Linked DNA regions of Bombyx mori. The protein of the gene in region 3 interacts with the protein of the main gene of each other region in a biochemical or structural test. Links are inferred from orthologs where the notes say so. Each region holds a gene or a part of one and is shown on either strand. Other genes may lie near its edges.

Region 1 (8,268 bases), on a different chromosome or scaffold from region 3:
TGAAAGTATAATAAAATTACTTTATTTTATTTTATTTCCAGGTTTTAGCTGCTATTGCTGTATCGATGGGCTCCATGATTATAGGATTCTCGTCAGGTTACACTTCAACTGGTCTTGTTACAATGAAGAATAGCACTGTTATATCAGTCAGTAAAGAACAGGCAAGTATATTTTATTTTGTCGGTAATTTAATTGATTACAAACAAATATTTATCCATAAATCTACTTTAACTTTTTTTTTGCAGGCTAGTTGGATTGGAAGCTTGATGCCTTTGGCGGCACTCGCAGGTGGAGTGATCGGTGGACCCTTGGTGGATTATTTAGGAAGGCGTAGAACTATACTACTTATAGCTCCGCCATTCTGCGTGGGATGGATAGTTATAGCCATAGCACACGTTGTCGAATTGGTTTTTGTCGGGCGTGCTATTTGTGGATTATGTGTTGGTGTGGGATCTTTAGCCTTTCCGGTTTATTTAGGGGAAACAATCCAACCAGAAGTCCGAGGAACTTTAGGACTATTCCCTACAGCAATTGGTAACATAGGTATCTTAATTTGTTACCTAGCTGGCACATATTTAGACTGGTCCGCGCTTGCATTTCTGGGTGCTGCTATGAACATTCCATTCTTTATTTTGATGTTCATTATCCCGGAGACACCCCGATGGTATATTTCGCATGGTCGCATGGAAGAAGCTCGAAAAGCACTACAATGGCTTAGAGGGAAAAATTGTGATATCGAGAGTGAAATTCGAGAGATTGCAGTTTCAGACGCAGAGGCTCAAGCCGATGATGCAAGCATACGAGATCTTTTTAGCATCAAATATACGAAGGCGATACTTATTTCTCTCGGTTTGATGGCTTTCCAACAGCTTTCTGGTATAAATGCCGTCATATTCTATACTGTGACAATATTTCAAATGTCAGGAAGTTCTGTGGACGAAAACCTTTCAGCAATTATTGTAGGAATCGTTAATTTCGCTTCCACTTTTGTCGCTACGGCGCTAATAGATAGAGCTGGACGAAAATTGTTATTATATATCTCTTCAGTGACCATGACTATTACTTTAATTATTTTGGGTACATTCTTCTATGTTAAATACCAAGCAAAATTAGATGTATCTGATTTGGGTTGGTTACCACTGACTACCGTTATGATATACTTGTTAGGATTCTCACTGGCTTTCGGGCCAATACCATGGTTAATGATGGGTGAAATTTTGCCAGCAAAGATTCGAGGTAGCGCTGCTTCAATCTGCACGGCATTTAACTGGCTATGTACATTTATTGTAACAAAAACATTTCAGAACATTGTTGATGCGATCAGCGCGGCGGGCACGTTTTGGCTCTTCGGGAGTATTTGTTTTGTAGGCTTATTCTTTGTTATTGTTTGCGTACCAGAAACGAGAGGCAAAAGCCTTGATCAAATTGAAAATAAAATAACCGGTAGAGAAGAGAAACCCAGAACTCGTCGACTAAGCTCGATAGCAAACATTAAGCCTTTGCCAAACGGATGCTAAGAAGATGTTTTAAGCATTTATTAATTGAATAAAATTAGCTTTAAAGTAGCAATTAATAACTTTTACTATATTCTTTTCACAATTTTTAGGCAGTAAAAACGTTGTGTAGAAAAAGATTTCTATAAAAAAATCTTATATCTAATAGTACAATGGTATCATACTTAGTTGTTGTAACTGGTTCTATTGGTAGGTAGACTTTACGAGGATTATAATTTATGACATGAATGCCAAAGTATTTTAGTAGTTTTTATTGGGAAATTATTACATTTAGTAACTATTTATAATGATTTTATTTTGTAGTTTGTATCATACACTACTTCATGTAAAATACTAAGCTTTTTGGCAATCTTATAACAGAGTTTAATCTATGCCGTAAAGTTAAAATCATAAGTTACTTATTTAGTTTGGTGGTAGGACCTCTTGTGAGTCCGCACGGGTAGGTACCACCGCCCCGCCTATTTCTGCCGTGAAGCAGTAATGCGTTTCGGTTTGAAGGGTGGGGCAGCCGTTGTGACTATACTGAGACCTTAGAACTATATCTCAAGGTGTGTGGCGCATCTACGTTGTAGATGTCTATGGGCTCCAGTAACCACTTAACATCAGGTGGGCTGTGAGCTCGTCCACACATCTAAGCAATAAAAAAAAAAAAAAATAGTTACTTATATTAGTTGTAATAAAAAATGTTTTTTTTAAACTTTAATATGAAAATAAATGGTAAGATCTAAAGAATAAATTTCACTTAATGGAAAGAGAGTCACATCCTTAAATTATAATTCGAACCATTACAATTCACAGAATCATTACATTGAAGGCACTGTACTAATCTCTTTTAATCGAATTGTGCCTATGAATAGAGTTATATGTACCTGCAATTTCAAATTTTAGAACTAACTAAGAAAACAATAGTTAACTATTATTTTTACGAAACAAGGGGGGCCAGACCACATGGAATCTATATTGTACAGCTTTCAAACATATTGATTTGTCGGTCCAATGACTATTATTATTTATTTGTTTAATTTGACAAGCACACATATTGATATGAATTGTAAGTGTAACTATGTTTCCATTCATGAAAGTTAGTAAACAGTTCAAGTTAAGAGGAGACATATTGGTAATGTTCAAAAGTATATAGCCCACCCAGAACCAGGACATGACCCAGGACCTAGGTGTTATTATGTTATATTATGTTGTATTAAGAGAGAATTATTAGAATTAAAGAAAGTATGATCAATCGATTCTGCTTTTACTACGGCAAAATAATATTTATGTTTAAGTCAGTATTCTTTACAATTCTTTAACAGATTGATGGATTAATAAACAGGATTATTTCAATGTAATATAATGAAATTTAAACTAAAATGCCTTAATTATGGCCTTAAATTTAAAGCGTAATTAAATAGTTTGAGAATAATTCACACGCACACAACATTTTTAATTTTGAAAATCCAAATATATAACATTGATAGAACAATATTACTACTGTTTTGTTTAATATATTAGTAATTATATTCTATCCCTAAATAATGTAATCATTTTAAAAAAAGTAATGACTCTCAATGCTAATTGGCAACATTCATCTTAACTTAAAATAAAAATAAAATACTTTTAAGAAAACATACTTAGTGCTCAAAATCTAGTTCTAATTATGATCGGCACAGCACACTAAATATTACTTGTAATATGATTATAGTAGGGTAGTAATATTTTCTTTAATAGTTCTATATATTCTAATCTGGAAAATAACTGTCATCTTGTCCAAGCAATTAATTTGTTAAATAAATTTGACTCACTATCACTTTGATGAATATCTATGAATTGATTCATAAACAACATAAATAATTAAAAACTTACCCATTACTTGCACGCGGCAAATAGCGCAAGTATCACATTCAACATCCCAACTCCACATTGCAACAGCATTCCATTTTTTCAATGTGAACATTTTATCGGATTTTGGACCATCGTTATCCCCACGGTCCATACCATCACAGTCTTCACCGGACATAATGTATGCGTTTTAATGTTTATGGTAAATATTTAAGGTAACTATTGAAAATTAAATGCGTACATTTACAATGCTCGACTTGTTTACTATTTTTAAAAACATAATCAGGTGAGATTTTGAAGTGGCAGTGACAGCTTTGACAGACTGACTTTTCTAATTGTTGCGGTAAAAGGAAATAGCCTATACTGATAAAGATTTAATTTAAAGAGTAATCTTCGACGTAATGTTCGTATAAACTCTGAATTACATCCACGCAATTAATGAATGAATAATCATCCCATGAGTTTTTTAATCCGGGGAATATTGGCTTAAAGTTAACAAAAAGAAACTAGATGGCGTTGGTGGGTTAATTCATAACATTAGTGTAACAGCAACCGTAAACGTATTTTACAGATGTACCCTGTGCGTCAGTTGAACTGCATGACATATTGGACTGTTTAGGACTGACTCGGAGGTACAGTACCTAGCGGCCTTGATTGTTGCGCCGAGGGTTATGTGTTAGATTCCCACATCGAGCAAACATTGCGTGATGAACAGTTTGTTTGCTCTTTGTTTGGGTGTTTATTATCTATATACATATGTATATATTTGAACGTATATAAGTATGTTAGTAGTCTCTGGTACCCGTAACACAGGGAATCCTAAATTGGGGCCGGATGACCGTGCTTAATTAAAAATAAAAAGGTTTAAAAAGCGTTAGATCAAATTTGATAAATAAATAGTCTAAATCGCAATACCTTCTTTTTTTTGCGCGTCGTAGGCAGAACGCCAGCCAGATGGTCAGATCTGGTTGGTGGTAGTCTATATCATGCGGTCCATGCCACCCATGATCAAACACTGTGGATGAAAATCACATGTGGTCGCGATCCTCAGCGGTGAGAGAACGATGAAAAAGAAGATGGAAATTAATTCCAATCGATTAATGTCTCATTTCGCTTCATATAATTTTTCATATTACGACACAATGTTATAAGATAACATTAATACAATACTTGGTTTACGATACGATAGCTTTACGATAGTTTGGCCTCAAATTTGAAAACGACCCAGATCGTCTTGTGGAATTTCACCCTGCCTATTTCTCTAACGAAGTAATAAACATAATAAGTGCATTATCTATGACGAAGTAGTAGGTAATGCCTTCCGGTTTCATGAATGGGGCCATTGATTTAGTGATGTGTTTGTACTTCGGTTCCGGTGGTAGATTCTGCGAAGCATAGTTCTTGCTACGGTCAGTGTTAGCACACTCAAGTTGAGCCCCGCGAGCTCACCTACCAAATAACTCAGAACTAATAACATATATAGAATAAAAAATAATACAAAGGCTATTTGTTACAGTAGATTTTATTTATAAAAAAACACGAAAATTGCTTAAAGTCTACGTTTATACTTAATGTATTATATATGGAAACTATATTTTGTATAAAATAAGTACAATAAACCCTGTTATATCTGGTTTTTATAATATGTATATATTATAATATTTAATGTTTTATACTCAATAGGCTCCGCCACGCTTTTTGTACAATCTTATTGTAAATTGGAAATCTTAAACTACACGTGTATGAAACAAAATACGATATTCAAAATGAACGATAACTTATAGATTTGTTTTGTGTTAAAAGTAGGTTGGTACTATTACTATCGGTAGGAAAAAATAACGCTTCTCCAAATTTAATACCCGCAGTTAGAATATTGCGAGATACAAAGAAGTCAGAATAATTGCGAGGCTGGCTCCTAGACTTGATGCTCCACTAAAACACCCCAGGTCTTCAATTTGGACTTGATATCTAATGTTGTATGGGAATCTGCATACCGAAGCATCTAGAATTAAAAAACAGTCCATTAGGAATGACCATTTCTTTATGTGAAATTTGTTAAAAAAGGTGTAAGAGGAAAAAACATATAATTTGAATGAATCTCTTATTAGTCAATACTTACTAGGTACTCAATTAAAAAGTGACATAACTATTATTAATATTAGTAAAATACCCATATAATTTTGGATGTAAATCATACCTGTGCAAATCGCGCTTGTGGCATCAACACCACCAGTTTCTGATTGTACGGAAATGTGTAGTGGTGGACATGATCCTATGGTCCAAAAACTGTCGCAAGCATTCTGCAGCCTTATTTCAATATTTCCGGTGGAAGCCAAATTCTCACAAGTTATTGCGCTTGGATCAAGTCCTACTATTGTTGTGTTGCGTCTGGAAGTCAAAGAATTTTTAAAGGCATCTCGAATAATACCATCCTTTTCCCGTGGCAACAGCGTTTTTAGACTATTTCTAAAGCGATCGTCTACTGGCATTTACTGGTGCAAGAACGAATTTGTGAGCCCGCACGATTTGGTACCACAATTACATTTACAAGTTTAATATTTACTTTTCTTTACGTCACAAAACTTTGTAAACGTAAGCAGAGTCTAGATAGGGTAGAATGGAAGGAATTGGCAAGCACTGTCCGTTGTTTTTTTAATGCTGAGTTTATCGTAATTAACCTGTGAACTGCGTTGTGTATCGTGATCTGTAAACTCTAAATACCAAGACCATTATTATTTTTTTGCCCGGATTCCTGCATTTACCCCAGAAGAGTGTCCAGGAGCGTCATAATATTGTCGGCCGCTCCTTTGAAATTTCTACTTAACTGTGAAGTTTAAGGGTATTACGATGGTCTCTCATAAGCTCTTAAAACCGGGTGGAGCATGAACTTGTTTGTCCATGTTTTGCAATTAAGAAAAAATTATAAAAATCTAAGGAATACTTAACTACGTTCACGGAATAACTGAATTAAAATATACATAGATACGTATGTTTATATGAGTTCTAAATTATATGTACTTAGTCTGGCCATAAATACTGTTACAATTAAAAATAAAAAAATATTACATTTGAATTTGGAATCTGTCGTTTTTATATGATTGCAATGCAATACATTGTACAATATTTTGCGATATTAAAATGGAGTGGGGTGATAAAGAGAACCGAATCGCTGTGATTGCATTACACATTACACAAAGTAGGTATGGAGCCAAATGCAATTTTTAAAACTCTCCATACGCTTGGTATTAGTAAAATGTTTGTGTACCGGGCTATTAATAGGTGCAATGAGATCTCCTCTGTTTGTGACAGAAAAAGATCTGGCCCTCCACGTAGTGTTCGTTCAAAAAAGGTGGTTAAAGCAGTAAGGGAAAGAATTCGAAGAAACCCTGTCCGAAAGCAAAAGATTTTATCTTGGGAGATGAAGATAGCACTAGAACCATGTCGCGTATTTTAAAAGATGACTTAGGATTTGCAGCCCATAAGAGACGTACTGGTCATTTCTTGACTGATAATTTAAAAGAGAATAGGGAGGTAAAATCGAAACAACTACTGAAGCGGTACGCAAAGGGAGGTCATAGAAAAATTTTGTTTACGGATGAGAAAATTTTTACAATTAAGCAACATTTTAACAAACAAAATGACCGTATTTATGCTCAAAGCTCTAAGAAAGCTTCCCATTTAGTCGACAGAGTGCTACGTGGGTACTATCCGACTTCAGTGATTGTTTGGTGGGGTATTAGCTATGAAGGAGTGACGGAGCCATACTTTTGTGAAAAAGGTATCAAAACATCGGCACAAGTGTATCAAGATACCATTCTTGAGAAGGTAATGAAGCCCCTTAACAACATCATGTTCAATAATCAAGAATGGTGTTTCCAGCAAGACTCGGCGCCAGGTCATAAAGCTCGGTCTACGCAGTCTTGGTTGGAAACGAACGTTTCGGACTTCATCAGAGCTGAAGACTGGCCGTCGTCTAGTCCCGATCTTAATCCGCTGGATTATGATTTATGGTCAGTTTTAGAGAGTACGGCTTGCTCTAAACGCCATGATAATTTGGAGTCCCTAAAACAATCCGATTGGCAGAAAAAAAAATCCCATGGAAAGAGTGCGTGGTTCTATTGATAACTGGCCTCAACGTTTAAAGGACTGTATTGCAGCCAATGGAGACCACTTCGAATAAGCTTTTTATACTTTAAATTGTTTTATATTTATGTATTAAACTAACACACTGTAAAAGTAATAAATGTTATTTGCAATAGAATTTTTTTTGTTTTCCTTTGTAACGGTATTTATGGCCAGACTAAGTATATATTGAACGAACACATAATACCTTGGTTGAGCAACAGCTCTTGAATGACACACAACAAGACTTCCAGCCCCACTCGCACTTCGAGAAATTCTGATTCTTCTGTTATCATTGTGTACATAAAAGTAATTGGGACTAACTGTGTAGAAATTAATATAACCAGGTTCCACGAAGTCGTCAAACTGTCTCGTGCCTGACAATTGATCAACAAACTGTGAACCACAAAGAGGATTCACAATTCTTCTTCCAACTGCAATAATAAAATAATGTTTTGTTTAAATCTACTTATTTTTATATTCGTTTCTACATTAGTTGTAATATGAAAAAGCATTTGTTATTAAATTCACAAGACACACACATAAAATTATATTTTAATATTACAAACTACAATTTTATGATACAATTTTAGAATAAAAATAATGAATTGCACGCTAAAAAACAACAGTAACACACAATCCTTACCTGACTGAATTCTTTCCAGGACTGGGCTCATGACTATTGGTACGTTTGTGCCTGTTGTAGCCAAAGATACCGCCCTGATGTCGTTGTGAATATCACGCACCAAATTCCATATGTTATCGAACTGATTCGTAGCAGTCGCAAAAAGTAGCCTCA
Region 2 (8,144 bases), on a different chromosome or scaffold from region 3:
AAGGGGTGATGTGGCAATACACACTTGCCTTGCCTTTGTGTTACTGTGCTGGAGCTACTTGGATAGCTTTGTCATTACTACACCTATTTTCAAGTGGCTGGACATCTGGAAATATGAAATAATGTTAGCAATTTCCAACAAACGTATAGTTTGTAAATATATAGGATTATATGTGTACTGTCGTAGTAGTAGTAGTAGTATTTAACTTCCTAACTTCATCATCATCAGCCCATATAATATATCCCCTTGCTGGACACTGGCCTTCACTACCATTGAGAGGGTTTTTAGGCCTTAGTCCACCACGCTGGCCTAGTGCTGGTTGGTGGATTACACACCTAAGAAAATCCTAAGAACATTTAGGTATGCAGGTTTCATCACAATGTTTTCCTTCACTGTTAAAGTAAGTAAGTGATATTACACTGTGATAAATTTTCATTTTCACAAACTTCCTAGTACCTTATGTAATAGGAACTGAGATCCACTTGCCCATTTTGGCTACTTCCACTAACTAACTAACTATTCTCATTTTTTCTGATATTGTTATTTGATTAGGAGATCTGTGAGTGTAACTAATTATTGACAGTTACACCTACCTTGACTACAAGATGGCAAAGGTATAATAATACGACACATCTCATTTTTAGTCGTCTCTTCAATTTCCTTGATAATAGTGAGTCTTTGCCGTTTCACAAATGCAGGCCGAGGTTCACTATGAGTGAATTTTCGTTTTCTATCTGCCCGACAATCGAATTTGGATGGTAAACAGTTTGGTTTCATTCGAATTCATTTAATGGAGCTCATTATCTTGTATTGCATATAATTCTCCATGTAGTTTTCCAGCTAAAACATGAAATAATTTTCCAACAATTTCAATACATAACCTATAAAAAAAATATTAAAATGTTATATTACTAATGTTAGGAATATAATTTCGACTGTGTCAAAATGTTATTATAATGTATACCTACATTATCTCTTGAAAGATAAATAATGAACATATTTACTTATTTGTTTATATTACCTATGTGAACTCTTAACCTATCTTTTTTATACCTTCATAGCGATAGGTATATAGGAGGATGGAAAAAATGTATTTGGTCTAACTTTACGCGAATGCACATTATTTTATTTATTTATTTTTTAATTTTTTTAATTAAACTGTATACCAATTAATCGATCCTTCAGGATTTATAATTGTTTTTTTTTCACGATTAAAACCGCGTAGAAAGTTTAGGCATTATAGTTGACGCATGCGCCATAGATTATACACTTATGGCATGCGCAGTACACATATTTTGTATACATTTATTCAACTAATACAATTAATTAAACAAAAAATGAGTAATTTCGAAAGAGAACAAACGTATTTTATATAAGAACAATCGAAAATGAATATTTACGAGTAATTAAGGACGAAAAAATTTTAAAAATTGCAATCGAGGGGCTAACTTTTAGATATATTTTTAATATTTTTTTTAAAATAAATAAATGGGGAACAAACAATTATTAACAATGAACAATCAAGAACAAATGATGAACAAACGAATTAATAGAAAATAAGTAGAAAACAGGAAAAAAAAATTTTTTTGAGGGGCTAACTTCATTCACCTATAAAATCACACCATTTAATTTATAACAAAGGCCAAAACCATATATTTTGTTGTGAGAAAAGTGAAATAGGAATTTTGCACAAAAAAAATCCGGCGAGTTATTTAGCCGCGTGGAACTAAATTAAATGTCAGAAATATTGGAGCTCAATGAATTTGGCCCCCCCCCCTTTGTAATTATTGGATTTTTTATTTTTAATTGTTATTTCGTCTTTTATTTATTTATAATTAATTAAACAAATGATCACCCTTAAGTCGGCCCCTCTTACTAGATGTCTTTATTTCTATCACTCAGACTAATTAATTTTGATCAATTATCGTTTGTTCGGCGACTATTGGTGATTGTTGCATCATAAAAACAAATAAATTCCCAATTATTAATTATTTTATATCTATTAAGCAATCAGGCCTATATTGTGCATGCGCCGGTTTTGTCAGTCACCTATCAATGGCCGTATTTACTAGCGTTTTGTTAACAAGTGCGCTTAAACTGTCTAATTATTTCCTAGGTAGATCAAAAAAATATTGAAAACTTCAACAATACTTCAACAAAAAAATGTCAGTGAAGACGACCAATTAGTCGTTAAAGTACGATTCGCCCGGTTTTAATAAATTCAGTTATTTTTAATTATATTGAATATTAACAACCATATAGAAATTTCAGTGATTTCTAATTATTCTAAGAATATTAAATTAATAATTGGGAATTTAATTGTTTTTATGATCGAGCAATCACCAGTAGTTGTCGAACAAACGATAATTGATCACAATTAATTAATCTGATCGATAAAAATAAAGATATTTTGTAAGAGGGGCTAACTTAAGAGTGATCATTTGTTTAATTATAAATAAATAATGGACGAACAAACAATTTTTACATTCGAACATTAACGAACAAACGACGAATAAATAATTAAAATTAAAAAAATATATTTGAAAATTAAAAAAAGGAGGCCAAATTCAGCTAAAATACTAACTCTATGGCACAGGACCACAGATCATAGATTAGACACTTAATATCCACAGATTAATATATTAGGATTGAACGCAAAGAGTAAAGTGTAAACATTAATTAATTTATTTATGAGGATATCGTTCTTAGATCTTAGATCTTATGTATAAGATAACTGACCTGCAATAATGATGAATATAAATCATAAAAAGGAAGATTTGAAACTGTACTGGAATAAAATAAACTATGCCTATCCAATTCTCGATGATAAAATTTTCAGCGACTGTACTGAGGCTGAATACGATGAAGTGCAAGTGTTAATAGTTAATTTGGGTGTCCAAATAAAGATACGTGATCTTGTATTTGTTCATATTGAGAAATATCTACGACAACATGTCGCATCTAGTTTTTGGTCAAAATATATTAAGACCGCGGAAGAAGTTAAAGGATTTCAACTATTTAAATCTTCAGTGAATGATCTCTATGAAGCAGTTTCTAGTTTCTCACCCATGTTACAAAGATTGACTAAATTGAACAGTAGTTGTAATGATAATAAGTTAATTTATGGCGAGAAAAATCTTGTATTAGGTTTTAAGCAGCTCGTCCGAGCTACTCTTCTGTCTCAGTTACCCATCGACTTTCAGTGTATTATAAACCAATTCTACAAAATATCTTTTAATGTTTTCGATAATGAATATGAAAACTCCGACATGGGCGAGGACATAATGTGTTCTGGTTGTGGAAACGAGTATTCCGATTGTAACTGTGCATACATTGTGAAAGTATTTCATGAAACAAATAGGAAGTTGGTGGAGTTACAATTGTTAGAAAGACTCACAGGTCAAGTTCTAACTAATTTCATCCAGTTGAGAATTCAGTCTCATATACAGAAAGTATGTACTGGCACTTTTGATGTGTCCCACATTGAAGCATTAGAAAGTTGGCTTAATACGACAGTAATGTCTTGGTTGATCAGAATTTATTGTGCTGGCTCCTCCAAACCTCCACCTGATGATAAAAATATACAAAATGCAATCTCAAGATTCAAACAGAAACTCACTTACTATCTCTATCATAGCTACACAAAAACAAGAATTGATCAGCTCTTCAACATCATTATAGAATATCCTGATTCCCAGCCTGCTGTTGATGACATCAAAATTTGTTTAGCAAAAACAGATTTGAGACCAACTCTATGTAAAAAGTTACAGAATGCATTAGAAACAAGGCTTCTTCACCCAGGCGTGAACACTCCTGACATACTCACTGCTTACATATCTACTATTAGAGCTTTGAGACACCTAGATCCTTCTGGTGTTATACTGGAAACAGTGACAAAACCTGTTCGTAATTATTTAAGAAGTAGAGAAGATACAGTGAGGAGTGTTGTGAGCAGTTTGACAGAAGAAGGTGCTGGTAGTGAGTTAGCTGAAGAGCTAGCTAAATTTGCAGCAGAAGGAGATGGCGATGCCGATAAAGATGAGGCTTGGGATGAATGGAATCCTGATCCAGTTGATGCTGATCCCAAAGTTGATTCAAATGACAGAAGAACTAATGATATTATATCTATGCTTGTTAATGTTTATGGTAGCAAGGAATTGTTTGTTAATGAATATAGAACTTTACTAGCTGATAGATTACTGGCTCAAAGTGTTATCAATACAGAAAAAGAAATTAGGTACCTGGAGCTATTAAAAATAAGATTTGGTGAATCACAATTACACTTCTGTGAAGTCATGCTTAAAGATATATCAGATTCAAAGAGAATTAATTCCTTAATACATCAGGACAAAACCATTGAGGAGCTGAATAAGAAATTTACTTCTAATGCAATGATTTTATCTGCACAGTTTTGGCCACCATTTAAAGATGAAAGTCTGGAATTACCAGAAGAAATCAAGGAACATTTTGAAGCATACACTAAATCTTATGAAGCTTTAAAAGGTAATCGAACATTAAGCTGGAAACCACACCTTGGAAATGTAAACTTAGAGATAGAAATAGGCGAAAAGAAGTTAGATCTGACAGTTTCACCTTTTAATGCGACATTGATAATGCATTTCCAAAATAAATCTGAATGGACGTTAGATGAACTCCATCAGGTGATGAAAGTTCCTATTACTATTCTGAGAAGGAAAATAACATACTGGCAATCGATGGGTTTAATAGCAGAAAAAAGTACAGATCACTTTGTTTTAGTTGAAGCTGATAATAAAGCCAGTGTACCTTCACATCAAGTACAGGAAATGATTTGTGAAGATGAAGAAACGGAGAGTGCCATGGCATCAGCACATGATCAGCGGGAAGGTGAACTGCAAGTTTTTTGGTCTTATATTGTAGGCATGTTAACAAACTTGGACTGTTTGCCTTTGGACAGAATACATCAAATGTTGAAGATGTTTGCTTCCCAAGCTCCAGGCACTGAATGCAGTCTTATGGAGCTGAGACAATTTTTAGACACAAAAGTAAGAACACATCAACTGGTACTTCAAGGAGGCATGTACAAATTGCCTAAGACATAGATGTTAATATTTATCAGAAATAAAAAAGAACTTGAAAGTTAACAAAACTTTATTTTCACCTTTTATATATTAATTTGGTTACATTACATGTCTATTTAAGTTAAAAGTTCAGATGCTTAAAACAATTTCTTTAAGCTGTTCCATCAACAAAATACATTATAAATTAAAATAAGTAATACCACCACTTGACTATAAAATAATACGAATAACATTTAAATACTTAGTGAATTTAATACATTATCATGTGTCAGTCTTAATATCTATTAAAATACTGTTTAAATTAAGAAGTAAGAATAAATAAATAAAACTAATTTGACAAGAAAAACATACTGGAGATAATACAGATTCATTATAAATATGCAGGGTGGAATGCATTTGGTCTAAAAAAAATTAATTGCATGGTTTGCAAAGTTTTCAATAATTTCAATATTTTCTTTTAATTACACTTTAATAGGTCATTATTATGTTACAATATTATGCCAATAGGCAGTTCCTAATAAAATGGAATGTTAATAATTAAAGGTAGTGCCAATGATGATAGAAATATTTGAGAAGTCATGCTTTAGTCTAAATAACCTTTTTTAAGCTTTACATTTTTCAACGAAAATTCATTAGTAGCCAATTTTAACATTTATTACTATTAAAACAGTATGTTTGATACTTTGAATTTTAGAAAACACAAATGTGCAGTTAAGTCCTGTTATGTTACGTTATGTATTTGTGAAGGTTTAGTAAGATCATGAAGCAAAATAAATATTACAGTTTATTACCTATTTATAAACAGACCTACAACAGTTAAAGCTCTACAGTAGTTTACATATATACAAGTACATCAATGCAATGTCGAATGTTTGCACGAAACTATTCAAATAAAGTAAAATTTTGGGGCAAAACGAAACAAAAAAACCCATTAAAACAGTTTTTATGTATTTCAGAACAAAAATAATACGTAAATCCGTTCGCACATCTATTTTATTATCGATCGGCAAAAAATGACCAGTTTTCTTGAATTTCATCTCAGATCAACATATATTGGCATAAACTCATTTAAATACCTAGTTGAATAAATCTCTCAAGTTACTTAGAAGTTAATTGAAGTTAAATAAACATTTTCGCAAAAATAAACTTTGCATTTTAAATGCAAACTAACGAACTACAACTTTATCTTAGAAATAATTAAGTACTTTAATAATTCATTAAGTCCATCCTTCAGGTGAAAATCTTGTGTTTGCTGGTGAACGCATTGCATAATTTTGGATAACATAAAAATTCTTTTTAAATGTTATGGTCGTATTTCACAATTCTGAAACGATTACATCGGGAAAAGGCAAATATTGGAGATTCGGAAAATCGTTAAAAATAATAGAATTTTGAAATTAGTTTCTACATAATATATTAAAGATCTTTGGCACTAATATTTTATTTTTATAATGGCTTGACCAAAGGATATTGGGGTAGGTACCAAAAGATACAATCTTGGCAATCATTATTTCTACATAATATGTGTACCCATTGTAATTAATACGCAGGATGTTGAATCGTTATTAGACAAACTGATTTTAAATAAGATACGGCAAAATAACGAGGACCACCAATTAAAAATCCCTGTATTCAGATCCTAGACATTATGAGATTTTTACGGCTAAATAGGTAAAGTAAATAAATCATAGCTCATTCTAAAGGTTTTTAAAACTTAAAAAAACATTTATGATATAATTTATATACACTCAAAGAGTATTTTTCTCTATGCCTCGTAACACTAGCACCATGTTCATAAAGCGTTTACGGACCTTTGGATATCTTGATATGTTCTACGTTTTAAAAAAAATCAGAACAACCAAAAAAAGGCTCCTAATTTTCATTTGGAAAATAATGCCAATACAATGTAACCCAATATTTAGATATATGTGATGCCAAGCTGTACGTTTTCGATCCGTTTGCTTTTTCGAAATTAGTTTTAGATTTTTATTATGTGCCTTTTCCCTGATTTAGTGCATCAAAATGCCAGTGTTACATACATTGTGCTTAATTTAGGTATCAATATTTTCACCGCTACTTTTATTGAAAAAGAAACAAAATAATTTTTTATTAAATCAACATGAAGCTAACACAAAGGCCAATTACGTTCTATATAATGTGCTGATACGATTATGTGTACGTATTTTTCAGTAAATGTGCGTAATGATTGTCATCCATGACGCCATGCAAGACAAACCAATTTTTTTAATTGAAATTGTTATCCATTATCTAGATCGTCTTGGATCATCTAACATTTAAATGATTTTTCGTGCGCGATGAAGCGACTAATCACACCATGTTCTAGTAACAATTGCGTCCCCACATGGGCCACTGTTATGGATTCGATTTTATAAACCGCGCATCTCGAATAATGCTCTTCATTCAATCGATCGTTATATATCAATTATGATTTCTCACGAAATTTAAAATTTCTACTGTATTATTTATAGAAGAATCCGGACCGATGCGAAGTTAGAATAAGTTCAAGCAGAACCCAAAAATTTTGAACATAGGTACTGAAACCGAACTGGAAGTGGAACCTGGATCCCGGGGTTATCAGATTCACTAGCCACTACATCAACGAGGCGATCAATATTTGCTTACTTAATAAATGATTTCGTTACTTTTGGATAGCGTCATCGATGAAGGGTCTAAAATCGGACCATACAGCTCGAGTTAAAACTTTCATTGACCGACAAGATAATTTATCAATCAGTGGAAACGTGTTCGTCGATGTGATCGCCCGATGCATTCCCGTGTCCGTGGTCTTGTACCGTATCGATGAATAGAAAGCAGGCTTACATTAAAGCCAGTGTGCGGGTAGAGTTCACCGGTTTCTGCGGGCGGGGGGCGCCGGGTGCGCGGGGTCGGAGAGGGGGGGCGCGGTGTGGGGCCCGCCCGACGCCTGCGGCAGCCGCTTGAACGGTCCCAGGCGCTTGGCGGGCCGCGGCGACACGCTGTGCGACTCCGAGCTGCCGCTCCACGCGCTCGCGCCGGCGTCCAGCAGAGCGGCTGCTAAACGACCGCTACCGGTTTCTATTAGAA
Region 3 (8,139 bases):
ACCGTGATTCATGCGGATCGTGGATCTCTATAATGATCTGGAGCTTGACTCCATCAGTATGTATCTTCAGTTGGCATCACTGTGCCACTTTGAGAAGACGGCACTACACGAAAACTCTCTTATAGTGGCCTACGGAAATTACATATCTGATCCTGCAGACGGAATGGTACACTATCGCCATTGTCTAAATACGTCCTTTCGGATCCTCCCGATCCACGGTATTTTTAGGTATCAACACAAGCACAAGCAACCTCACCGTTCTTATCGAACCCGATGTTGCAGTGGACCCTATTTTGTTTTGAGGAGTTTATGTAGCTTACTTGAAGTCTCTGTAGTTTATTTGACTTTCATACATCATTTCTACTTTCTACATGCTAGTTAATCATACAATTTAACGTAAATTAATAATAATAGTATAAAATAGCTTTGGGTGTGCATGTAAGTTTAGTAAAATGTTGAAAGGAAAGTCTTACTCGACGAGATCGTCAAGACCCAGAAGAGTGAGGGGCTCGTCGGGCGGCAATAAATGACCCCGACACAGCAATGACATACAGCATATCTGCAGTCCGAACGTGCGGCAGAGCCTCTGTTGCAGCCACCGTACCTGACGCGACTCCTCCACCCACATGTAGCATTTGGCGCGCTCATCGGTAAACACACGACGAAGGCACACACTAACTCGGAATCCGCGTTCCTGTAAGTCCATTAGCTCGTCTCCCCGTCGTTTAGGCATTTATGAGATCTCTTCTTAATGTTAATCTGTCAAAGAAATTTTGATTTAATCTACTAATCTACTAGTTTTTAATCAATCAGGAATGTGCTTTAATCTCGGCAACATCACACGAACAATTTTATGAATCTTAATTTGCAGTCTCGAAATCTTTTTCGAACCGAATGTCTTCTTGTTTCGTGATGTAGGTTCCCGTTATTTTATTTCTATTTCATTTATTTTACATCTGTGACACATACATTAACAACTTAATATTTATTGCAATATATTAACAATATTAAATTAAATTAAATAGATGATTTATTTGAGAATTTGAGACGAGACCCCAACTTTAAAGTTGGTAGTACCGTAGTACCTAGTTCTATTTTTCTGACTGGAAAGGTTAAGGCAAAGGTATCGCACCATACAGCGTAATCTTTTATCATTAATTTTTTTATTATGAAAAATGCAGAGAGTTAATTGTAGGTACTTATTAACTCCATAAAAAAATTATAATATGAAATGGAATGAAGTTGATTAATTTGGAACATTAATCAATTGTATGAAATTAAATGAAGTGAGATGAGATGATATGAGATAAAATATAATCTTAGTAAAATTGTGGTTATTTAATGAGCCTTTTTACTGGACTTTTCAGAGGATCCCAAGCAGGTACATCCAGCGGCTTTGTTTCATTTTCCCACATTTGTGCACTTTCACAGATACTAAACATTTAATAAGCCACCGTTGTTACACGTTTAAACCTGAAGGAATTGGTCTTAATATTCAGGTCATACAATCCCTTGTAAAAAAGTAATTCTTCCTAACAAAAACAAAATCAGAAACACAATATGAGATGTGTAGGTATTAAATATCTATGTGTCTAGGGACACAAAATTAAGGAGACCTGTTAATACCCCCGTGCACAAAACAAAACTCTGATGTGGACGTTCCTAGATAAGGAATGTACTTTTGAGTTTGTTGGATTCGCCTCTGAACAAATAAAATACCCACACGACCAAATGGTTTGTTAGAAAAGTCATATTAAAATTTATTTTGCTAAAAGTTAAATGTAACATACTCTGGCAATAATTAGACTACCGTACTTTATGACTTAATCACGAACACTAACGATTACTTCTAACGTCTAAGAGAAGACTAAGTCATCCATGAGAACTACAACTGTAAATTACCTGTACGTAGCGCCGGAAATAATAAAACTACAATAAAAAAAAAATTGTGAAAAGACGTTGAGTTTCAAATGTGTCTACCACACGTGAAGTCGAAGAAAATCTATACTAATATTATAAAGAGGAAAGATTTGTTTGTTTGTTTGTTTCGAATAGGCTCCGAAACTACTGGACCGATTTGAAAAATTCTTTTTCCATTAGAAGCCGACATTGTCCCTGATGAACATAGGCTACTTTTTTATTTTATTTTTTATTTATTTTTTTGGTTTCATGTGTGTTTTAATGTTTCCGAAGCGAAGCGAGGGCGGGTCGCTAGTATTAGATAATAGAAAATAAACATGATTAAGGAATATAATTATAAAGGAAGTGAGCGAATGAAAAATATTAATTGAAGTGAGATATAACACCCTTAAGTGTCCATTGAGATGAATTGAAATCACCTTTCAGAATTTACTGAGCTCAATGGAGTTTTTGGAAGTTGCCGCGAATCTACGTTTAGCGATTTTGTTTCATTTCACGCATTTCTACATGTACTTCAACTGATATTAAATCATAAGTAAGCCACCATTAGGAAAGTTAAGGACCATTACATCTGAATGAACGATAAATTAACAAAATAAATCAATTCACATATTTTGCCCTCTCTCTAAAAAGTCGATGAAACAATTAATTGTTGCCAGTTTCGATTTATAAAATGTTCATGTAGATAATTAGTACAAATCAGCGATTTTTAATTTATTTCCCAATTTTGCGAACTTGCAAATTAGATAAATAAATAAATAAAAATATTCCCCAAAGATATAGTAACAAAAAGTAAGATCGGTCAAGATTATTGAACATAGGTAGCTTAGTATTTATAGCACCTTTCACTTATGTCATAATATCTCTATAGTATGTGGTAGTAAGGAACAGTAAGATAAATTAGCATCACATCTGTGATTTAATATATGGAATTTTATACGTAAATATTTAGTTTTAATTAAGAACACAGTGTGACGACCCATTAAAAATTTTAGCGCATTGTGGAATGAATGTTATAGGAATAGTTAAAGCTACCTTTGCCTAATTGGGCAGGCTAATAAAAAAAATGCAGTTTTATGTTTTGAATTTTGAAAATTTTGATAGATCAACTCGAAATCAAATTTGATAAGTAGTGAACATTTTTCTGAATAATAAAAATTGCATGCTCTGTTGTAGAAAGAGATTAATATTTCGAAATTCCTTCTCAAAACAAATAGAAAAATTCTAAAAACTTAGTGACATTTCGTTTTAGTGTAAAAGGTGATAATAACGCAAGCAAATGCTATGAGCGCCTGACATAAAGAAGGAGAAGCAGAAGCATGTCGAACGTGGAAAACGTATGTCCTCAAGCGTTGCGTGGCGTGGCACGCGAACTCCGACAGCTGGCGGCTAATCCTCCGCCGGGCATCAAACTGCAGCTGCGAGACGACGACATATCTGACATAGTCGCGCTTATCGATGGTCCCGGTAAGAATCTATTCAAATATGATACTGCCCTCACCTCCAGAACCGGTGTGACATTTCGTTAAACAAAAGGCATATCTACTTTCTCATGTCATGTAATAAATCAGAGGTGGAAAGGTAAATGGTCCAATGGCAATGTCTGGATTTGTTACATTGAAGTACATCTCAATATTCAACGTCACAGTTACAATTTATACCGATTTTTTGCTATCTGCTTGATATTTATTTTGTTTTGAATGTCATTACTTATATCTTGCAATGTCTCAATTTTGTATGGAAAATTTGGACATGATTTTTTTTCAATCTGCATCTCCCGTCTTTTAGATATTCAATAATTATGGAGTCCTTTGAAGTCATGGTCTTTCTAAAGATATATTAACAGCTGCAGATATTACATTGTCAGAACTTTGTTTAACTTATAATTTAGACCTCTGAAGAGATGAGGAATAGGAGAATCTGACACTATCTAAAAGTCATAATTTTAAGAAATGTATGATGTGTTCTTTTTGCATATGGGACTTTCTTTAAAACTAAACAATAAATAAATACCTTCATAATGAACACCACACAATATAAGCCACAGATAGGTGAACCAATTCTCAATATATACCACTGCCAGTTATGTTCAAAGTTTTCAAAAAGCTGTTGTCATGTTACATCTTACCTTTATTGGAGAAAAACAAAATCATCCCAAAGAAGTTTAGTTTTAGGACGACATATTTAGTAGTTGTGCAGTTATAGAATGATAGAGAAAATGAGAAAGTCAGGTGTTTTTAGGCCTCTCAAGCACCAGTCCTCCTCGGTTGATTACGACTAACCCATACACAGCCCACTGAGTATCTTGCTGGATCTTCTCAGTAGGTCGCAATTCTGATCTGGTGGTAAATGTTTCAAAGCACTGTTCTTGCTAGGTCTAGTGCTAGCAAATTCTCTCAGGTTGAGCCTGTGAGCTCGCCTATCTGTTCACGAGAAGCTGGAATATCTCCACAGGATACTAGCCAATAAGTAGGGAAAAATTATACATATACACATTTTTTTATGTGTATGATTTTTATGCTTTTTTTTTTCTAATTGAATTAATGTGTCAAAATATTTTTGAGCATTTTTGTATATAGTTGTTATATCTAAAGCTGTAAGCTGTAAGCTGTGTTAAGTAAAATGAGATTTTAGTATGGCCAGAGGTTTAATATTTTTTTTATTGCTTTGATGCATGGACGAGCTCACAGCCCACCTGGTGTTAAGTAGTTACTGGAGCCCATAGACATTTACAATGTAAATGCGCCACCCACCTTGAGATATAAGTTGTAAGGTCTCAGTATAGTTACAATGGCTGCCCCACCCTTCAAGTCAAAACGCATTACTGCTTCACGGCAGAAACAGGCGCGGTGGTGGTATCTACCCGTGCGAACTCACATAAGGTCCTACCACCAGTAAAAACCAGATTCAAGGGTATCAACTAAATTAATGCAAAAGTTGATGATTTCAGCGGAGACGCCGTATGAAGGGGGCGTGTTCCGCGTGCGACTCGTGCTCGGACGCGAGTTCCCCGCCAGCGCACCGCGGGCATACTTCGTCACCCGCGTCTTCCACCCCAACGTCGCCGCCGAGACTGGCGAGGTCTGCGTCAACACGCTCGCACGCGACTGGCGCCCCGAGCTCGGGCTCCGGCACGCGCTCCTCGCTCTGCGCTGTCTGCTCATCGCGCCCAACCCTGACTCGGCACTCAACGCGGAGGCCGCCGCCCTACTGCGCGACCGCTACGACGACTACTTCGCGCGCGCCAAGCTGCTCACCGACATCCACGCGACTCGCAGCCGCGCCCCCGCCCCCGCGCCCGCCGCCGCGCCCGCGCACGCGCCCGCCGCCGCGCCCGCGCACGCGCCCGCGCCGCCCGCCAAGCGCCGCCCCGCGCCTCCCCCCCGCGCAGACAAGCGCCGCATCCTGAAGCGGTTATGAGCCGTCCCGAGATCAAACGATCAGACCACGCAAATGGACTCGTCCAACACGAGCGAACTTTAAGATATTTGCAAAATTGAACTTTAAGTAGTAGGTGAACTTTTTAATAATTTAATGTGTATCTGCAAAAACTGAAATCCTTGCGTTGAGTGTGCGCTGGACAGTCTGCTGCCCTTCCCCCATCTCCTTCCCGAAGCTCTTCCCTCGCGAACGTCGAGTCACTAAATAAAATCTTACCCCAAGTTAATTGAGTTAGAATCCTCCGTGCGGCTGGAGCTGAGCTGCGAGTGGCGCGGCTGGACAGAGCGCTCTGCTGCACGTGACGCTCGGAATATAAATTCACAATATCGCTATTAAAATACGTTTCCATAGATTTAATTCCTAGATTTGTAATATTGTATTGAATTAAAATAGAATAATATATTAATAACTGTGCGTACAAAAATGCGTGTTTTAATTCATAATTATTCAAACAGTAAAAACACCAAATTTTATGCTGTTCGGATATTGAGTACCGAGTACACCGTAATCGTCCGGTGTAGTGGTGTGACGTCACATGTGGGCACGCGTGGGGACGCTGACGAGGTCAGGGCCTCCCCGCAGCTCGATTGGAGGCGATGAGTTGTTCTGATTTGTGCCCTTTTTAAGTTAAGATGAAATTGTTAATGGAATGAGACTTGTTGCAAGGCATTTTATTAAACGGCCTATTTTTTTTAAACAAACCTTATACGGGTGATCTAACAATGTGTGTTTCGCTTCCAAGTAAAATCCAGCTTTTAGTTAGACACGTGTATCAACAGTTATCCGAATTAAAATTGTGAAACCTTTACAGCACGAGGTATCGTTTCACTCACTAATATATTAATTATTTATTTATTATTTAAGTTATTTTTTTCCTACCTATGCTGATAGCCTTGAGAGGCTATTTCAGCTTCGCCCTAACATGTGGGTGAGCTCACGGTGAGGCCCGAGGCCGAACCTCCTACGAGGTCCCCGCGCCTAGGGTGCGCGCGGGGCATGTGGGACTTGTCCGCAGACTGCGGGTCCAAGAATGTTTTCAGGGCCTTACCTACCCACTAAACGACTCTCCTGCACTCTTCGCCCAAGCCTCCGATCCCCTCCGAGGTCAGAACCCGGATGAGGTAGGGGGGTTACTGCGGTCAACACTGCAAACAGACAGCGCAGCTCACCCCAAGGACGCCCAGCCGACGGAGTCTTCGAGGCGAATCGAAGGCTCCGAAACATAGGCCGTCTCGGTACGGCAGTCCGTCAGACCGCCCAGACGATGCCGCTGGTGTCCCGGAATACCCCGCTAGACCAGAACCAGCCTGCCGGGTTGGGCCGCGATACACCGCCAATCCGGTTTGCTCTATTATAGATACTCCTTGGCGGCACGCTAGAGTGCTGGTAGCGCGCCTTTGCCCCCTCAGGTTGCCCCTTGACCTTCACCGGGGGGAAGCCGCCAACTATAGGGGCCAGGACGTACGGGCGTAATCCCTCCTCTAGCCTCCGGCTCGACGGCGACGGATCGGTGCGAAAAAGGAAAAGCTCTCTTTCTCTCGTTCCGCCGCCTCCTGACCGCGACGAGGGCGGCGCGCTGCTCGTCGAATCCAGAGCAACGCGCCAATGTGTGTTCCGCAGTGCCATCCTCGTCGCGGTCTACTTTTTTCTTATTTTTTTTATTGCTTAGATGGGTGGGTGAACTCACAGCTGACCTGGTATTAAGTGGTTACTGGAGCCCATAGACATCTACGACGTAAATACACCACCCACCTGCGCAATGGTGGCACTGCGCCGTCGGTTCCCTTCCGGTTGTTTTATGCAAGTACCGGCTGAAGCAACCGTGGCCGGTAAGCATCTGCGTAAGGGCCTGGCCACAGCTACTGGCGGTGCGTTTTGCGGTACGTTACGAGGTGCGGCGTGTGGCGCGATTTGCGGTGGTATGCCACAGCTAGACTAGTTGCGACGGCGGCGGCGTCAGAGGTGCGCGTATTTAGAGAGCCTTATCAAATGTCCCTATCAAAAGTGGCACGATATTACCTTGAAATAAGTGCGTTCTTAGCTGAAGATATTATTTAATCAAGAATAGGAGCGCACTCAGTTAGAAAAGGAGAGAACTTGGCGAATTTCACACTATTTATTAGGAATATAAGAACTATCCCGATAAATAGATTATTAATAGAAAATAGATTCAACCTTCACAGTGATTACCAGGTTCAAATCTCAATTTACCATTCGTGTTAATTGGCGACGAAACCTATCTTAAAAATTATTTAATGCGCCCATATCCACCGGGTGGTTTAAATGCGGAATAAATAATTTTCGACAAAGGATTATCCCGGGCAAGAGTCACAATTCAGTACGCGTTTGGTATTTTAACTAATAAATTTCGTATTTTTATAAAAAGTGGAAAGGCAAACAAAAAGCACGCGACATTGAATATAAACGTTTCGTGCCTGTTACACAATATTATAAGAGAAAGAGATGGAGACAGAGATGCAGGTTTTCAGCAGTTTGTTTCCCAGTTTGGAGACTCCAATATTCTCAATAGCGTACGCAGATCAAGACGGAATAATCGAGCAACGGTTCTAGCATCTAGAATACGAAATCAATTCAAAGGACAATGCCGATTTTCTTTGAGCGTTTGGGCCCCTAAAAAAAGTTGTCGTATCATGATGGTTTTAACTTAATTTGATAGACAAAGAAATATCGTTTCATATTCAGAAAACGATTTTTATATTCTCATCCAGGTTTAAGAGAAATCTATTTTTTTCTGCAGCTAAAATTAAGATGTTAATT
Region 4 (6,703 bases), on a different chromosome or scaffold from region 3:
ACAACAAGATCTCTTGAACAAAACAGATAAGACTTCAAAATACATAAATACAAATCACTAGTAGTAAATAGTACTGATTTTCAAACGACACAAAAAAAAATGTATTTCTCTTTTCTAGTCACCCCACCGCAGACTTGATCTCTCTCGTGTTGTCATAAGTACTAAATTATTGAATTATGCTTTCCCAATATGTAAGGGTCTATAAACAAATACAGCCTCAGCCGATAAACATTACTCATCGATTAATGTAAAGAAACAATCTTCTAATTTTGGCTCCGTAGAGTGCTCCTTATCTCTACGAACTCCAGGGCTCATCAAGTTTTACGAAAATCTATGTCAATTTCTTTTCAATATTTACTGTTGATAAAAGACACAAATTAAAATCTTGTCAAAATATAATTTACATCACTAGAAATTCACTAACTCGTTATTGGAGTTTTGTGTCCGAGGCGTATTTGCTTTTATACCTATATGCATACTAAATGTAACCTAAAATACAATACTTTGTTTTTGAAATATTTTATAAAGATTGTTTATTTTTTTAACGTTTTTTGTGAAGAGATTCAAATAATCAAGTTCTACCTGAACCATATGACTTTGGCACTACCGAGCAAGATGTCCGGAATATTTTCGTTATTATACCTTTTTACATAATAAATGAAACAAAAGTATGTTGGTTTTTTATTTATTTTTCGTTCCACATACAGACCCATCTGATTTTACAATAAAATATCGAATTTGGTAAAAAACTTTTTCACGACGTAAAATAATAATAAAAATGCAGCACATCATCATTTGACAGTGAGCAAACGAATGAAACGAAACGACTATGAGTAATTATTTGAAATTTAGACTGAAGCAAATTCTGAAGCACAAATATAATCACACAATTTATATTAACTATCACGGTATTAAATAGAACCCTCTCTGCGTAGTGGTAACTATTATTTTTCAGCACCACTTTGGGAGGGCTCAAGATCACATTAAATAGACTAAGGCAGAGTGTATTTTACATACGGGACCTCCACATCATTCCCGTCATCATCATTGCAGCACAATTCAAAAACTAATGCATTCACATGCGGTTCCAACTTCTTCTTGGACACTTTTGTGACCACCTCCGACATTGGCAGGTTCAATCGTTCCAGCCGCTTGGCTTTGGGCATGAAGAACGAATAAAGCATGCACACACCTTGAGACAACATGGTGATCTCCAACTTGTGTTCGTTTTTGAAGTGATCTAAAAATTGCTGTAATGTAATCTCTCCTTTAACTTCAAATCTGTCCCATAATGTCCACTTATTCTCATTGTAGGTGTTGGTCGACGGCGCAATCGGTTCAGAGAAACCGAAGAAGGGCAGGGCAAGGTTGACGAAGCCGTTCTTGAACACTTCCAGCTTATTGAAGCCTTGGGCCAGTTTGTAAAGTTCGAGGCAGACTAAGCCAGCCACCACGGATGTTGTAGTGGCAATGGCAGGGATAATCTTGCCAGCGATGAGTTTAGAGCGATGTCTGTCGGCTGGCGTGATCTTGTAGTTGGTAGCCCGCAGGTTGGAGGCGGCAACGATGAAGTCCATGTGGAAATTTGTATCATCATCTTTTTCGAATTCTAGCGGTGTGATCTTAAGAGATCCGAGTTTGCTTGGAGACGGCAGCTCTGCGATCATGTTCTTAACCCTGTCTTGATCCATCTCGTCATTGTTTTGCTGTAACTGGGCGTCGCTCACCGCGATCTTCACGCCGGATTTGGGGCTGAATTTCGGTACCTGAATTATAAAATAGAATAAAATAACCACCATCAAATGTCTAGGATACATTTTTGTTTCGTTGTTGTTTGTAATGTTCTAGTTTATAGGAAAATAATAAATTTTAACAAATATAGGTCTGATATTTCATTAACAATGCCTGTGATACTAGTTAATATCTATTAAATAGAAGCGGATGCACCAGGTGTATGAATCAAATTGTTCTACAACCTATTATCACATGATCCAAGATGCAACATAAGTAGAGTTACTCTTGCCGTAAACAATGATTTATTCAGAGTTTTACGTACCTGTATGCTAGCGGCAAGCTTGGCGATGTTTTCCCTGTCAACACAGGATGGGATTCCATATACCGTAGCCCTGAGGTTCGCTGCGGCAACAATGTAATCGACGTGTAGTTCATCATTAGGATCGAAGGCGAGGGGTGAAGGACAACGCTTCGGTCCGGACCAGAAAGGCGCTCCGCTCGTGGTCAACTGTTTCGCCGGGAAGTTGTAAAGGAGCTGCTTGATCTGGTTCGCGTATTGGTTCTCCCAATGATGTCTCGCCCATATCACGCAGTCGTCGAAACTGTGAGGGCGTTCGTTTATAGCGTTCTGTAATTTAACAATTTTGGAGATTTACATTTTGTTTTTTTCAAGAGAAACAAATAAAATGAATGGAGTGAAATGAGTATAATTTTTCGTTTCTATTGTAGAAGTTGACCTTGTGAGGTTTTTATGGAGAAGATGGAGGAGGTGTGTGTGTTAGTTGTTTGTCCGTTGCGTGTTGTCCTCCATAAACCTCATCGGAGCGGTCAATAAAACACTAGGTATAATCACATGTTTATTCGCGTCAGCGACCGCGGTGGATCGCTGCATGTAAACCACTGACTGACTAACGTATGTTGCTCATTACTATAAATACATAGCAAGCAGCTAAGCAGGGCGGGGTATCATTCCCCTACAACCTTTTACTTCATAGTAACAGGAAAACATTTTGGAAGGGTTTTCATTCTAAAATTTGTCTGTGCATGTTAACTGATATTAGGAAACATTGAATGAGAGAAGGCGTAGTACTTTAATATAGTCGTTACTCTTGCATAGCTGTATTGAAGGGCAGTGATCAGGTTATTAGGTAGACAGTATGTTTACTACGAGTAATAAAAAATATGTTATATACACTTACTCGCACACTCTCAATAGCATCCAAAGGCTGAGTACCAGGCAATTTAAGACAGCGGTCCAAGAAATTCGGGTCCTGCAAGTATTGGGCAGCATGCTCAGCAGCCTGACGGAATAAACCTTCGAATTCATCGCGAGCCCATTGTAGTGTGTGTTCAATGGCATTCGGGAAGTTCTTGAGCGTACAAATAGGAATACTCTTCTCGGGAGGGTCCTGGGATGAGCTGTAAGATTCCGTAAGGAATGGAACAACCACCTAAAACGTAAATTACTGATGTATTAATGTTATTTCTTTTGATATGATTATATCTTGCTTAATATTTTCTTTACTTATATATTATGAAATATTATTGATTTATGTTTAAAAGATTGTGAAGATTCAGATATCAGTATCAAAACAACTTTTTTTTAATTTACCAAGTTTGAATAGTTAATGATACTTAAAAATCTTTGTGTTTCCAGTATAAGTACTAGACAACGTTAAATCAATTCATAACTATTATTTTCTCTTAGGGTTCTAATTTATATTTGATCATTAACCAATTAATTTTATTCAACGTTTCATGTTATTTCAAATTGTATCTCAAATGCTTTTGATTTTACTAACCTGTGTATTTCCTTTAGTTCCAAGAGTGCCACTCTCCAATAAAGGTTTTCTATAATACACACACCGTCTGTCCATGTATATACGGGCGTCGACATTGTCGAGTGCATTGGCTACACCATCCAATGCTTCAAAGAATGCATCATTGTAGACGGACTCGGTCTCAGGGCAAACTCTGTTTTCTTGTGCCAAAACATTTACTGCTGGATTCATGCGTTTAATTACCTATGACAAAAAAAATATATTAAAAGTATTTGAGTATTACAGTATATATTTATAGTTACTGGTGGTAGAACCTCTTGTGTCTCCGCACGCGTAGGTACCAACACCCTGCCTATTTCTGCCGTGAAGCAGTAATGCGTTTCGGTTTGAAGGGTGGGGCAGCCGTTGTAACTATACTAAGAACTTAGAACTTATATGTCAAGGTGGGTGGTGCATTTACGTTGTAGATGTCTATGAGCTCCAGTAACCACTTAACACCAGGTGGGCTGCGAGCTCGTCCACACATATAAGCAATAAAGTAAAAAAAATATATATTGTGTAATATCTGAAACCAACTAGGGAAACATTAAAACTTAGGCGAGCAAAAACATTTATACATTGAATTTGAAACTAAACTGAAATTCACTGGTTCAGGGAGTAATCTCGAAGCAAACCCTGTGTAGATGGCTACTCTTGTGCTCTCTATAGCAGTACACAAGTGATCTCAAATGTCATTACGAATCCAGCAACTTACATTAGCTGCAGTACTAGATTTCGGTTTCTGTACATCATAAGGCCTAAACAAGAACTGCCTGTTGAGGTTAGACTTCTCAATGAGGTCCATATCCGTGACTGTAATTTGTCCTCCATCAGCACCCACACCAATCATGGCAAAGTTCTTTAATAATTCACATCCGATAGCACCAGCACCTGAAGAGATAAACTTCATATGATACTATACTAATATTTTGTGTAGCTTCATACAGATAGTTCATATTGACTATTATTCATTAGTAAATTACCAATCTTGAGTTTACAGAATTATTTATGTTCCATATATGTAAGAGAGCACACAGGTTCCATAAAGTTGAGTGTGAAACCCTTTTTTTTTTTTTTTTTTCCTGGCCGAGGGCCGAACCTCCTACGAGGTCCCCGCGCCTAGGGGGCGCGCGGGGTATGTGAGACTCAACGATCTGCAGGTGTTGAGAGCAGACCGCGGGCCCACCCACTAAACGACTCCCCTGCACTCTTACACCTGGCGTCCGATCTCCGTCTGGGGTCAAAACCCGGTCAGAGTAGGGGGGTTCCCGCGGTCAACACTACAACCAGACACGCGGCGCCACCCCGAGGACGCCCGACCGACGGGTCGTCGAGGCGATAGTCGACGACCAACGACGTCAGTCTTACTTTTTACTTTTAATTACTTATTACTTTATGTTGCAATTTCCCAAACAGCATAACATATTTACAGAATAACTGATGCTAGAAAATTTTGTCAAGTTCCAAGGGATGGTAACAATATTTGTTTGCAGATTAAAAATACAGTGTGTGATATAAATTAAGACTAGAATAGATATCAGTTGACCATGGGAGCCTTTCACTCCAGAATAGTCTTGCACATAAGGAGAATGACAATAATTATCATTCTCCTCACGTGTCAATCAATCAATCCTTTTAAAAGTGTTCAGAGTCCCAGATACTCACCCACAATAAAATACTTCAGCTGTCCAAGTTTCTTTTGGAATTCTCTACCAAAAACAGCTACCTGTCCATCATATCGTGAACCGACTGGTTTGCAATTTTCTTCGGTGAGAGTTGAATGGTCTTTAGGTAAGCACTCAATAGCATCCAAGTAAAGCCACTGTACAAGTGGGTGGAACTTGCCAGAACAAGCCTTCATTACCTCTTGAGCAACCACACCGCCTATCGCTGCGTTCATAGGATTTAGGTCTCCTGACGATATCTGGAAAAGAAATTAAATTAAATGTTATGTTAAGACCAATCATATAATCATGATTTTTTGAGACAATGCTGGTTCCCTGGAAATTGTTTTGAAAAGATGGAAACATCCAGAATTATCATATTTTATCCTAAAACCTGGACACAATAAATGTATGGAACAATTACCACTGCCCATATAAAAACAGCATGTCATAGTAGTGAAGCATTAAGTGCAATAAACTGTCTATAAATTATTTTACACACTAATGTATTGTAAAAATACTAGTTTTTTTTTTTAATCAAACAGGTATTTCAAGTGTGTAATTACAAATGTTTATATGAAAGACAACAGGAAGGTAGAAAATAATTTTATTATAATTTGTATTTACAATAAAAGTAGAAGAGTTGTACCTTCAGGTGTAAGTTTACAAAATATATAAAAAGCCTTCTACTGATAAGGGACTGTCTGAAATAATATTATAATAAAATATAAGAAAAAATTTAATCCTAAGACCCAATAAGAGGTCCAACGTATTTTTTTTCTTCCAAATTTAACTTTTTTGCTGTTTCTTCTTTATGTCTATTTTTGACAATATCCCCAACTAATATGAAATAAATCGTTTTATTATTATTGTACAGCAATAAGCTGTAACTCACAGTACTACTACTAATTTAAACATAATTTAAATAATATTTAATACATTTTAATATTATCTTTATCTAAAACTAGCTGACCCGGCAGACTTCGTAGTGCCTCAGTCTAAACTAAACTTTTGTATAAAATAAACTTAAAACAAACAAAAGGAATCGTCTGACGGCCAACACATCAAAGGAAAAACAATTTTTTTTTTTTATTTAGTTCTGAGCATTTTCATATTTATCTACCTTTTAAACCTTCTCTGGGCTTTCCACAAATAATTCAAGACCAAAATTAGCCAAATCGGTCCAGCCGTTCCTGAGTTTTGGCGAGATTAACGAACAGTAATTCATTTTTATATATATAGATTACTTGGTTTTATTTATAATTTTTTTTTTGCTTATTGATGACTAGTGTAACAATGTTTTAGACCACCGCTTACCTTACAGAATGTTTCCAATAATTCAGTATTCACTTCAAAATCTTCATCCTTATAAAGTCCATCCTCTAGAACAGTTTTCACATACAGCTTGAATTTTGCCACATCTTCATCATTCCATGGCTTTGGCAGACGACCTTCTCCAGCCTGGAACTTGTGAAGAGCAGCAAA

What was found.
Region 1: the proteins of ubiquitin-conjugating enzyme E2 S (region 3) and RING-box protein 2 form a complex in vitro, tested with the Homo sapiens proteins (3 studies listed by BioGRID). The link is inferred for Bombyx mori from reciprocal best matches to the Homo sapiens genes UBE2S and RNF7.
Region 2: the proteins of ubiquitin-conjugating enzyme E2 S (region 3) and anaphase-promoting complex subunit 2 form a complex in vitro, tested with the Homo sapiens proteins (3 studies listed by BioGRID and IntAct). The link is inferred for Bombyx mori from reciprocal best matches to the Homo sapiens genes UBE2S and ANAPC2.
Region 4: of the proteins of ubiquitin-conjugating enzyme E2 S (region 3) and ubiquitin-like modifier-activating enzyme 1, one has a biochemical effect on the other in vitro, tested with the Homo sapiens proteins (8 studies listed by BioGRID, with this or other methods). The link is inferred for Bombyx mori from reciprocal best matches to the Homo sapiens genes UBE2S and UBA1.

Annotation. Positions count from the first base shown.
Region 1 is NC_085111.1:9,081,300-9,089,567, reverse strand, and holds the start of RING-box protein 2, read right to left. Parts: upstream 4,255-8,268; 5' UTR 3,526-4,254; coding exon 3,372-3,525; intron 2,754-3,371; exon of another isoform or gene 1,518-2,753; coding exon of another isoform or gene 246-1,517; intron 162-245; coding exon of another isoform or gene 42-161; intron 1-41. Other genes in the region: facilitated trehalose transporter Tret1, read left to right, coding at 42-161, 246-1,517; uncharacterized protein LOC101738136, read right to left, coding at 5,213-5,349, 5,545-5,735, 7,678-7,903, 8,116-8,268. UniProt on the Homo sapiens protein: Catalytic component of multiple cullin-5-RING E3 ubiquitin-protein ligase complexes (ECS complexes), which mediate the ubiquitination and subsequent proteasomal degradation of target proteins.
Region 2 is NC_085131.1:8,612,094-8,620,237, reverse strand, and holds anaphase-promoting complex subunit 2, read left to right. Parts: upstream 1-2,616; 5' UTR 2,617-2,747; coding exon 2,748-5,081; 3' UTR 5,082-5,128; downstream 5,129-8,144. Other genes in the region: probable Rho GTPase-activating protein CG5521, read right to left, coding at 7,927-8,135. UniProt on the Homo sapiens protein: Together with the RING-H2 protein ANAPC11, constitutes the catalytic component of the anaphase promoting complex/cyclosome (APC/C), a cell cycle-regulated E3 ubiquitin ligase that controls progression through mitosis and the G1 phase of the cell cycle.
Region 3 is NC_085116.1:174,758-182,896, forward strand, and holds ubiquitin-conjugating enzyme E2 S, read left to right. Parts: upstream 1-2,914; 5' UTR 2,915-3,049; exon of another isoform or gene 3,050-3,172; 5' UTR 3,173-3,239; coding exon 3,240-3,387; intron 3,388-4,870; coding exon 4,871-5,340; 3' UTR 5,341-5,785; downstream 5,786-8,139. Other genes in the region: uncharacterized protein LOC101745345, read right to left, coding at 474-733. UniProt on the Homo sapiens protein: Accepts ubiquitin from the E1 complex and catalyzes its covalent attachment to other proteins. Catalyzes 'Lys-11'-linked polyubiquitination.
Region 4 is NC_085114.1:15,609,362-15,616,064, reverse strand, and holds the end of ubiquitin-like modifier-activating enzyme 1, read right to left. Parts: coding exon 6,536-6,703; intron 5,479-6,535; coding exon 5,220-5,478; intron 4,446-5,219; coding exon 4,270-4,445; intron 3,759-4,269; coding exon 3,537-3,758; intron 3,186-3,536; coding exon 2,934-3,185; intron 2,363-2,933; coding exon 2,057-2,362; intron 1,767-2,056; coding exon 993-1,766; 3' UTR 672-992; downstream 1-671. UniProt on the Homo sapiens protein: Catalyzes the first step in ubiquitin conjugation to mark cellular proteins for degradation through the ubiquitin-proteasome system.